2 linked regions of the Oryctolagus cuniculus genome follow. The protein of the gene in region 1 interacts with the protein of each later gene in a biochemical or structural test. Links are inferred from orthologs where the notes say so. Each region holds a gene or a part of one and is shown in the gene's direction. Other genes may lie near its edges.

What was found.
Region 2: the proteins of RP2 (region 1) and ARL3 form a complex in vitro, tested with the Homo sapiens proteins (2 studies listed by BioGRID). The link is inferred for Oryctolagus cuniculus from reciprocal best matches to the Homo sapiens genes RP2 and ARL3.

Annotation. Positions count from the first base shown.
Region 1 is NC_091453.1:32,375,461-32,380,024, forward strand, and holds the start of RP2 (protein XRP2), read left to right. Parts: upstream 1-1,763; 5' UTR 1,764-1,949; coding exon 1,950-2,051; intron 2,052-4,564. UniProt on the Homo sapiens protein: Acts as a GTPase-activating protein (GAP) involved in trafficking between the Golgi and the ciliary membrane.
Region 2 is NC_091446.1:27,272,147-27,276,652, forward strand, and holds the start of ARL3 (ADP-ribosylation factor-like protein 3), read left to right. Parts: upstream 1-1,651; 5' UTR 1,652-1,660; coding exon of another isoform or gene 1,661-1,663; 5' UTR 1,664-1,760; coding exon 1,761-1,784; intron 1,785-4,506. UniProt on the Homo sapiens protein: Small GTP-binding protein which cycles between an inactive GDP-bound and an active GTP-bound form, and the rate of cycling is regulated by guanine nucleotide exchange factors (GEF) and GTPase-activating proteins (GAP).

The DNA of each region.
Region 1 (4,564 bases):
CCTGGAAAAAGCTCTTGGTTCCTGGTTTCCAATCGGTTCAGCTATGGCTGTTGCGGCCATCTGGGGAGTGGACTATCGGATGGAAGACCTCTCTCTCTGCCTCTGCCCCTCTGTAACTCTGCCTTTCAAATAAATAATCAATAAATATTTTAAAAAGAAGGAGCACCAAGCACTGGCAAAGACCTTATTGCCTAAGAACTGGAACTTAAATTTACAGTAATTTCTAATACAACCACATGTACTTTTCTTCTAACTGTGCAATAAAGGACAGGAAGTGAAAAGGGGAACATTCTTAATGCTTAAGTCAGAGGCTCATTTAGGATACACACTAGATGTGAGTAACTGAGAAAGTAAAAAGATAATCAGACTGTTTTTATTTATTTGAAGAGGTGCAGTTACAGATAGAGGGAGAGACAGAGAGAGGCCTTCCATCTGCTGGTCCACTCCCCAGTTGGCTGCAACAGCCAGAGCTGTGCCAATCTGAAGCCAGGAGCCAGGAGCTTCTTCCGGGTCTCCCATGCAGGTGCAGGGGCCCAAGGACTTGGGCCATCTTCTACTGCTTTCCCAGGCCATAGCAGAGAGCTGGATCAGAAGAGAAGCAGCCAGGATATGAACCTGAGCCTTTATGAGATGCTGGCGCTGCAGGTGGAGGCTTAGCCTACTACACCACGATGCAGGCTCCACGATAATCAAATTTGAATCTGAACTGATCTGCATTTGATGTCCTAGCAAGATGTAAAAATACTATACCTCAGAAAAAGCAATTTACAATTTCTGTTACATAAGCAATATGTGTGCATTGTAGTGAAATTCAAGCCAAGTATAACAGATGTAAATATTTGATGTCAATACTCATATTTGTAAAGTACTTTTGGACAACTCCTATACCATCTGCTTAGAACGGATCTGATTGTATAGCAATGCTAATGTCCACAAGTAGGCTATAAACTCCTTGAAAAGAATCTTTACCATGTCACATGCTCCCCTCCCCCTCCTTTGATCACTTTTTTGAGAATGGATAGGGGAAAAGTTATAAATGCTTCTTTCCTTATTGTGCACAGCATTCAGTCATGGAGTCATTTGACAACTGTTTTATGGAACACTTAGCATGGACTTCGGCCAGGCTAGAGGGTTCGAAGGTGTATGTCCTTAAGACATGCCTTTCAGTCTCAAGAAATTCACCGTTCTAATAGGGAGACCACACTTAATTATTTTACTAAGTATCTCTGCACTTTTAGAGCGCTGCCTGGATGTCTCAAGAAAGCACAGAAGAGGGTGGAGGGGGTTCTGGGAGAAGACTCCTAAGGGGGCAGCTCTGGCCAGGGGATGTAAGGACTGTGATGAGAAGAGGAATGAGCAGAAGAGGACACGAATTTCAGGCCAGCAAGAATTCTTGTTCCCTTATAACTTGCATCATAAAACAAGTCTATGGTTTAACTTAAGCATCCTGCCCGGGTCTAGAGCTTGGAAACAGAACTAGGGGCAAAAAGACCCGGATAGGGAGCTCAGCCTCCCCACAGACAGAACCCCACCGAATCCCGGGGCGGGGCGGGGCAGAGGCGAGGGGGACGAGGGGGGCGGGACGAGGTTGAGCTGGGGGTGGGGCCATCTGTACGTGCGCCAGAGAGGGCCAGCCCCGCCGCCGGGAGCTGACGAAAGAGCCCGGGCGTGGATTGGTGTGTGAGTACGTCGGCCTCTCTTCATAGGCCGCGGAGAGCCGCAAGCGGGACTCTGATTGGTTCAACGGGCGCTCAGTGGCTATTGGTTGGGTTGGGTCGTCCGGGAGACCGAGGGGAAAAAGAGAAGGGGTGCTGGGCCTGGCGGGCGAAGTGAGGCTGCGGACCGCTGGGCGGTGTCCAACGAGCTGCGGGGTCCGGGACGCCAGGGTTCACCGCACACCTCAAGAAGTTCCTAAGTGAGCCGGCCAGCTAGGTCCACAGGACGGGACCATGGGCTGCTTCTTCTCCAAGAGGCGGAAGACTGAGAAGGAGTCGCGGCCCGAGAGCGAGGAGGAGCAGCCAAAGCAGTACAGCTGGGACCAGCGTGAGAAGGTAACGCAAGTCTTGCAGCCGCTCGGCGGGGGTCCCTTACGACTCCGCAGCGCTCGGGGGGGCCGACCCAACTGCTGCCTGCCGCCCGCTCTCTCCCGATAGCCGGCAGCTGAAATCGGCACCACTTGGGGGTGGGGTGGGAGGTGGGCGTGAAGTAGGGTGCCAGGCGCTGGAAGGGGCTTCCGAGTTCCTAGTCCAACTCGATGGACCCCTGGGGCATGCCTCAGCTCCACACCCTGACGGGCCTGACTTCCCGTCTGAGGATGGACTCCAGGGAGGGAAGAAGCCCAGAATGCCCTGAATCTCAAATCACCTTATCCCAGCGGCCGCGCCGAGCGGGCTTTTGCCCAGTGGTCGAGTTACACATGGGGCTGATACTCATCTCTTTCGCGGCTTGTGTTCTGTGGCTGTTTTCTCTTGTCTGCTTTCCCCGGTAAATCTCTGGTGCCTCATGACAGATTGGCCGGGTGAATTTTCTCAATTACTAAGTTTAAAGTCCAGCGTTGCTCTTCCTCCTCGTCTAGTTACCCGGAAGCAATGATGAAAATGGAGTGAGCCTTGGAATGTGTGTAAGGTGGAAAACGCTTTAATTTTGACTTTTGTATACTCATAGAGCCAGAAAACAAAAAAGTTTTCAAAACGTCCACTGGTCTTCCACAAAACACACTTAGTCATACATTTCATAATGCTTCCTCTTTCTACATAGTTCTCCATTTGTGCTTAGTAAAATGCTTTGATAGACTTCATTGCCTTTCTCTTTCCAAGTGGGAAATTTATTTTAATAAACGTTAGGAACAGTTTAGCTTAGCACCAGATCTTTACCCCCAGACTGCTTTATAGTAAGTGTCTTATTAATATTTTGATATCATAGACTTTTTGTGTTGAGGTGCAATCCCCAGCAGTAGTGATTCGTGTAAACTCGGTTCTCCAGAAGATGTCAGATTTAGGAGTGTAGATGCTTTTTTTTTTTTCTTTTTCTTTCCAGACTTGTTAGCCCTGTCTTCCTGTTCTCAGACCCCACTTGTGTCACCTGTTATCCTTACTGGGTAGCAGCATTTGATGATATTGATAGCAAAAATAAGCTCATGCTTTTGCGTATGTGTATAACACAAGTTAAAATCTCAATCAACTCAACTCTCGAAACTTTTCTAACTGAATGAGCCTTATACAGGAAACAAAAGTACTGTGATGTCTGTTGGACTTCACAAGAAGATTGCACCCATGTTTTCAAGTTGTTTGGTGGGTGGTTTTTAAAAAATTCATTTCCCTCAGCCTTAGGATTTCTAACAGTGCTCTTTAAGCTTGAACTATCTGACAGAAAGCTGTGTTTTATTTTTATTTTAGCTTTTTGTTTTCAAGTCATAAGCTAAAACTAAAGTGCTTTTATTTTTTTTTATAGTAGTAGTCTTGGTTGCCTTGGTTGACTCATCGTTTCCTAGTAAATTGCCTTACAGTTAACTTGTATTAACATAAGGTTCAGGTTAGTTGGGCTCCCTTGTTAATCCCTCTTTAAGGTAAGTAGGTGTGTTCTGTGATTTTTTTTCCCTTCTTTTGCTCTTTAGCTAAGTAAATGCATTAAAGAAAAGAACAGCAAACTCTAGCATCTAAGCATTCCCCACCCCCACCCCAAAATGAACCTGTAGAAAACTTTGAGTTGTAGATGCTGTTTTGAACTTGTAGGGAACATTTTTGTGAGACTACTGCTAGGTACTGTTGTTGCAGAGATACAAGAAATGGATATGTAAAATAAGCTCATGCTTTTGAGTGTGTGTATAATAGAAGTTAAAATCTTGATCAACTCAACTGTCAAAAATTTTCTAACTGAGCCGGCGCCGTGGCTCAATAGGCTAATCCTCCACCTTGCGGCGCCGGCACACCGGGTTCTAGTCCCGGTTGGGGCGCCGGATTCTGTCCCGGTTGCCCCTCTTCCAGGCCAGCTCTCTGCTATGGCCAGGGAGTGCAGTGGAGGATGGCCCAGGTGCTTGGGCCCTGCACCCCATGGGAGACCAGGAAAAGCACCTGGCTCCTGGCTCCTGCCAGGATCAGCGCGGTGCGCCGGCTGCAGCGGCGGCCATTGGAGGGTGAACCAACGGCAAAGGAAGACCTTTCTCTCTGTCTCTCTCTCTCACTGTCCACTCTGCCTGTCAAAAAAAAAAAAAAAAAAAAAATAAAAAAATAAAAAAAAAAAAAAAAAAAAAATTTTCTAACTAAATGAACCTTGTATTCTGAAAACAAGTCGATTTACATTTTTGAAACAATGAAGATACTCTGTATCCCAACATTGCCTGTTCTTTTTGGACCTTTTTTTCCTTTTGGAATTACTAGGAATTCTCTTAAAGATGCCTCATTTATTATAGCTTGTTAAGTTTTATATGATCTCAAAGTCTTTTTTCCTAGTTCCTTATCTCCCATGGGGTCTATTTGAGCAAGTGTACAAATGTTTCATATTAATCCAATTATACTTCTATTGTGCATAGTCTTGCTTGTTCCTAGAAGACTTTATACCTTAGAAG
Region 2 (4,506 bases), on another chromosome or scaffold:
ACAGAGAGAGGTAGAGCCAGAGAGAGAAATAGAGAGAGAGAGAGATCTTCCATCACTGGTTCACTCCCCAAATGACTGCAGCTGATCCAAAGCCAGGAGCTTCCTCTGGGTCTCCCACACAGATGAAGGGGCCCAAGATCTTGGGCCATCTTCTACTGCTTTCCCAGGCCACAGCAGAGAGCTGGGTTGGAATTGGAGCAGCCGGGACTTGAACCGGCACCCATATGGGATGCCGGCACTGCAAGCTGGGGCTTTAACCCAATGCACCATAGCCCCTGGCTTTCGACTCCAGCTAGCTCCCAGGTGGGAATCCTGTATTGAGTTCCTGGCTCTGGGCTTCCAATCAGCCCAGGGCCATCTTGCGCATTCTGGGAGTGAACCAATGGTTAGGTGTTCTTTCTCTTAAAAAAGAGCAAAGTAAGCCCTTAGATAGTGCTTCCTTTGCGGCAGGCAATGCTCTATGCATCTGACAGATAATATTCATAATTCACATTACCCTCACTAGAAACCGCTGAGGTCACAGGCACACACACGCACATTAGCAAGCTTCCAGATGTATCATTTGCCCCCAGACTTTATCAGCTCTCCAAAAGCTCTTGGTTTCCATCTGTGATGTGTCCCTCCCACCTGAACAACTGTGTTTAGGAGCAAAGTAAACAAGTGTGTCCAAGTCGGTCCAAGTCCAAACTCGCCATCTGCAACAATCAATTTCTGGAGTTGTGCGGTGAAAAGCAGTTCTCTAGGAAAGGCGACATTTCCATGAGGGCAGACTGTCCACCGCAGTGTGCCGAGATGCGGGCCTACCACTAATGCACGTGCTGAGACTTACACGGACGGGGTGGGGGCGGCGCTTCCCAGCTCACCCAGAACCCGTCTCTCTGCCCCCTGAAGGGAAGTGCAGGCCCGTTTTTGCCTCCAGGTCCCAGCTCGGGGTTTAGAGCGGTCAGGAGGCTGCCCCCGGCCCTCCGACCAGGAACCTTCACCCGCAGGGACTCCCTGTGGAGACGACTGCACAGCCCCTAACCCCCACCCTTCTGCCCGGCGCTCCATGGCAGCTAGAATCCGAGCAGTGGCATCTGCGAGCAGCTCTAGGCCACTCCTTGAACCACGTGGCTTCTGCAGGTAGAAGTCTAGCCCCCACCCCAGCCCAGCGCAGGCGGAGTCAGGACAGAACTCCCAGCCCTCCCGGGACGTGGCGACTGCAAACCGCTGGGCAGCCTCCGCTCAAGACCCTTTACCTGGCCGCAAGAGGGATGCCTGACACAGCCGCCGCCAGATGTAGCCAGCCGCTGCAAGCCGGGCCAGGGTGCTCCGCCTGCCAGGGCCAAGGGACCGCCTTCTCGCCCGCCCACGCCCCTCCTCCTGGCCAATCAGGCACCGGGAGGCTCCCGCCAGCCACGTGGGCGAGTTTTCGCCGTTCCCTGGGTCTCCAGCCCCCTCTGCAGCGACCCCGCCCGCGCAGGGGCGGGCACCTCGGCGCGCTTGCGCACTTTGGAGAAAGCGAAGCCGGACCCCGCCCAATACGGCGGCTTTGCTCCTCCGCTGTGCGTGCGAGGGACGTCGGGGGCGGCGCCGCGGCAGTTGCCCCTGGTAACGGGGGAGGCTGCAGGAGGAGGAGGAGGAGGAGGAGGAGGAGGAGGAGGAGGGATTCGGCGGGAGGATGGTGAGTGTGGGGACCCGGGCCCCTCTGCACCCGGCCGATCACCCCCCTCCCCGCTCCAGGCCCAGGGCGGAGCCCCGCGCTTAAAGCCGAGGAGGAGATGGGAAGGCGCTCAGCCTGCAGTGTGGGTTCTGGATTCGCTTTGAGGGGCGGCGGGAAGCCCCGAGGGTGGGCCCAGAAGGGAGGCCTGGGCTTAGGGAGGAAGGCGGGGCTTGCGACGGGTCCGAGGCTTGGGGAAGGGGCTGGCAGAGTTGGTGGCTGGCCGGGTACCGAGCCCAGGCTCCATCAGTGCCCTGGTGGCAGGGATGAGGGCAGATCCGGGGAGCTGCGGAGCAGCCGCCTCCGCACGCAGGCTTGGATCACCCTGAGACTCGGCCTCCTCGCGCTGCAGGACGGGGTCCGGGCCCGCAGCGGGGAGAAGGTGGGCCCGCGGCGCCGGGGGACGGTAGCCGGGCTTGGGCCCCCGGGGTCCGATTCCCAGGACAAAACGAGGTGCGGTTGGGATGCCTGGTGGGTTCCACGCAGTGTCGGCGGCTGCGTGGCGGGGGCGCTTCTGAAATCCCGAGCTATTTATTCATTTGCTCAGAGTTCCACAAGATCCGGTTGCTGATGACCGACGATTCGTTCAGTCCTTAATCTGTGTGGATGGAAACAAATTGGCTTCCCGGCCCCTACCATCTCCTTGGAAACCTGTTGCAACCCCGTTTTGCATGTGGCCACACCGGGCCCCAAGGTCTTGATCCCCACGTGGGGTCTCCAACCCCACCTCCGGCAATGAGGGAGGGAAGCTAGAACTGGAGAATAGGCGTGAGTGGGGCGAGCGTTTCCTCTGTCAACCCTAATTAAGGCTGTGACAAATCGCACTTTTTGTGTGATGGATTTGACAGTTCCTTGTTGATTTCTGTGCGGTGGCATTGAGTGACTTTTGAGCTAGTCGTAGAAAAATCGATTTGTTAAAGATTTCGGAGCAGCTTGGTTGGTTTACCAAGTGCAAAAAATCCAGTAAAGGAAACTTGCAGTAACTTTCCACCCTGCCCCCTTGTTCCTTTCTGACCTTTCGAATGTTGAACCATTACTATTAATTTAAGAAGTAAGAAAAATCCAGATGACCGGGAGGAGAGAGTACATGTTTCCCTTTGGTCGATTATCCATTGAGTAAATTTTGATAGGAAGAAAGAGCCTCAGTTGATTTAACATTGTCATATCGCTCCCAAAGCAGAGCTACTTGATCTGACCTTGCCATCACACTTCGCACTTGCTACATTTGTAGCTTTTGAAACCTCAGGCTAAACAGATTTTTGCAAGTGTTTTCTTTTTAGTAATCATTTATACATGAGCAGTCCACTTGAAGGCTAGGTTTTTCTCAACCTATGAGTGCAAACATAAATATTTACACAGAAAATTCCTAAAATCGAAACAAAAAAAGGCATGTCAAACCACCAGAGAGTGAGATTTGTCATTATCGAGGACCGCACCAGGTGCACATTGGCACTGTATACAGATTGACAGTGTGTACACAACACTGTTGTATACAACTGTTGTCAATAATCAAAACAGATTGGGGGTTTGTCTCTTCCTTTTTTCTTAAAATGAACAATAAGAAAGTAGAACAAATTATTCTGGATTCTTTATCTGGTTACCAAATACACTTTTTTTTTGGTCTATTTCTAAAAGAGTGAGCTATTCTTAGGATTGGAAGTAGAACACTGAATTTAAATGGTCAGTGATGTAATTAAATATGTCACATCTGGTATCCCCAGGAGCCCCATGCTTCACTGTACAACTGAAAACTGAATTCCAGGTTTGGAGCTTTTTTTGTTTTGTTTTGACAGGCAGATCTTAGACAGTGAGAGAGAGAGACAGAGAAAGGTCTTCCTTCCGTTGGTTCACCCCCAAATGGCGCACTGCGCCAATCTGAAGCCAGGAGCCAGGTGCTTCTCCTGGTCTCCCATGGGGTGCAGGGCCCAAGCACTTGGGCCATCCTCCACTGCCTTCCCGGGCCACAGCAGAGAGCTGGACTGGAAGAGGAGCAACCAGGACAGAATCCGGTGCTCCATCCAGGACTAGAACCCGGGGTTCAGGTGCCACAGGCGGAGGATTAGCCAAGTGAGCCGTGGCGCTGGCCAGTTTTGAGCTTTTTTTAAATTTCAGCATCAACTGATATATTTAAAAAAAATTCAGGTTACTGCAACCATTATTGGTTTCTGTGAACATTTAGAGTCAGCTGCATTACTCTTGCCTTATGATACCAAGTTCTTGAAGAAGTACCAAGATGACAGTAATCTTAGCACATAACTAATCACTGTTATTTACTGTGTGACTCCATGCAGTAGCTATTTGGGGATTGCTTTCCACCCCTGTGGAGCTTGGGGCAGTTGTCAAGCTTATTCAACACTGAAAGCTTATTCCCAGCAGTGTTTAAGTTTTCTGGTCTGAAAATGGTCAGTTAAGGAACAAAAAGCCCGCAACTACTGTTGGGAGTGCCTACCATGTGGCATGCTTTCTATCTGTTACTTCATTTAATGCTCTTGGCATTTTTTTGGGGGGTGTGTCTATTGCTGTTCCCATTTCCTAGATGAAAAGATGCCCCAGGTTGTGTGTGCTTGGAGAGGGAAGTTGAATGAATACAAATCTGAAATCTTGAACCTCCTAGTGAGGCCCACCCTGGCTGAGGAGATGCCTGGGAAACCTTGTGTTGTTATTTAGTAGAGTGGTGATGAGAAAGATGACAAAATGTCAGTGAGATTTTCCCTTTCAAAGCTGTAGAAGTTTAAAGAAGTAAGAATAAGTAAGTAAAAATGGTCAGTTCCACTTAAGCTAGTCATTGGGAGGGGCCGTCTTTGAAA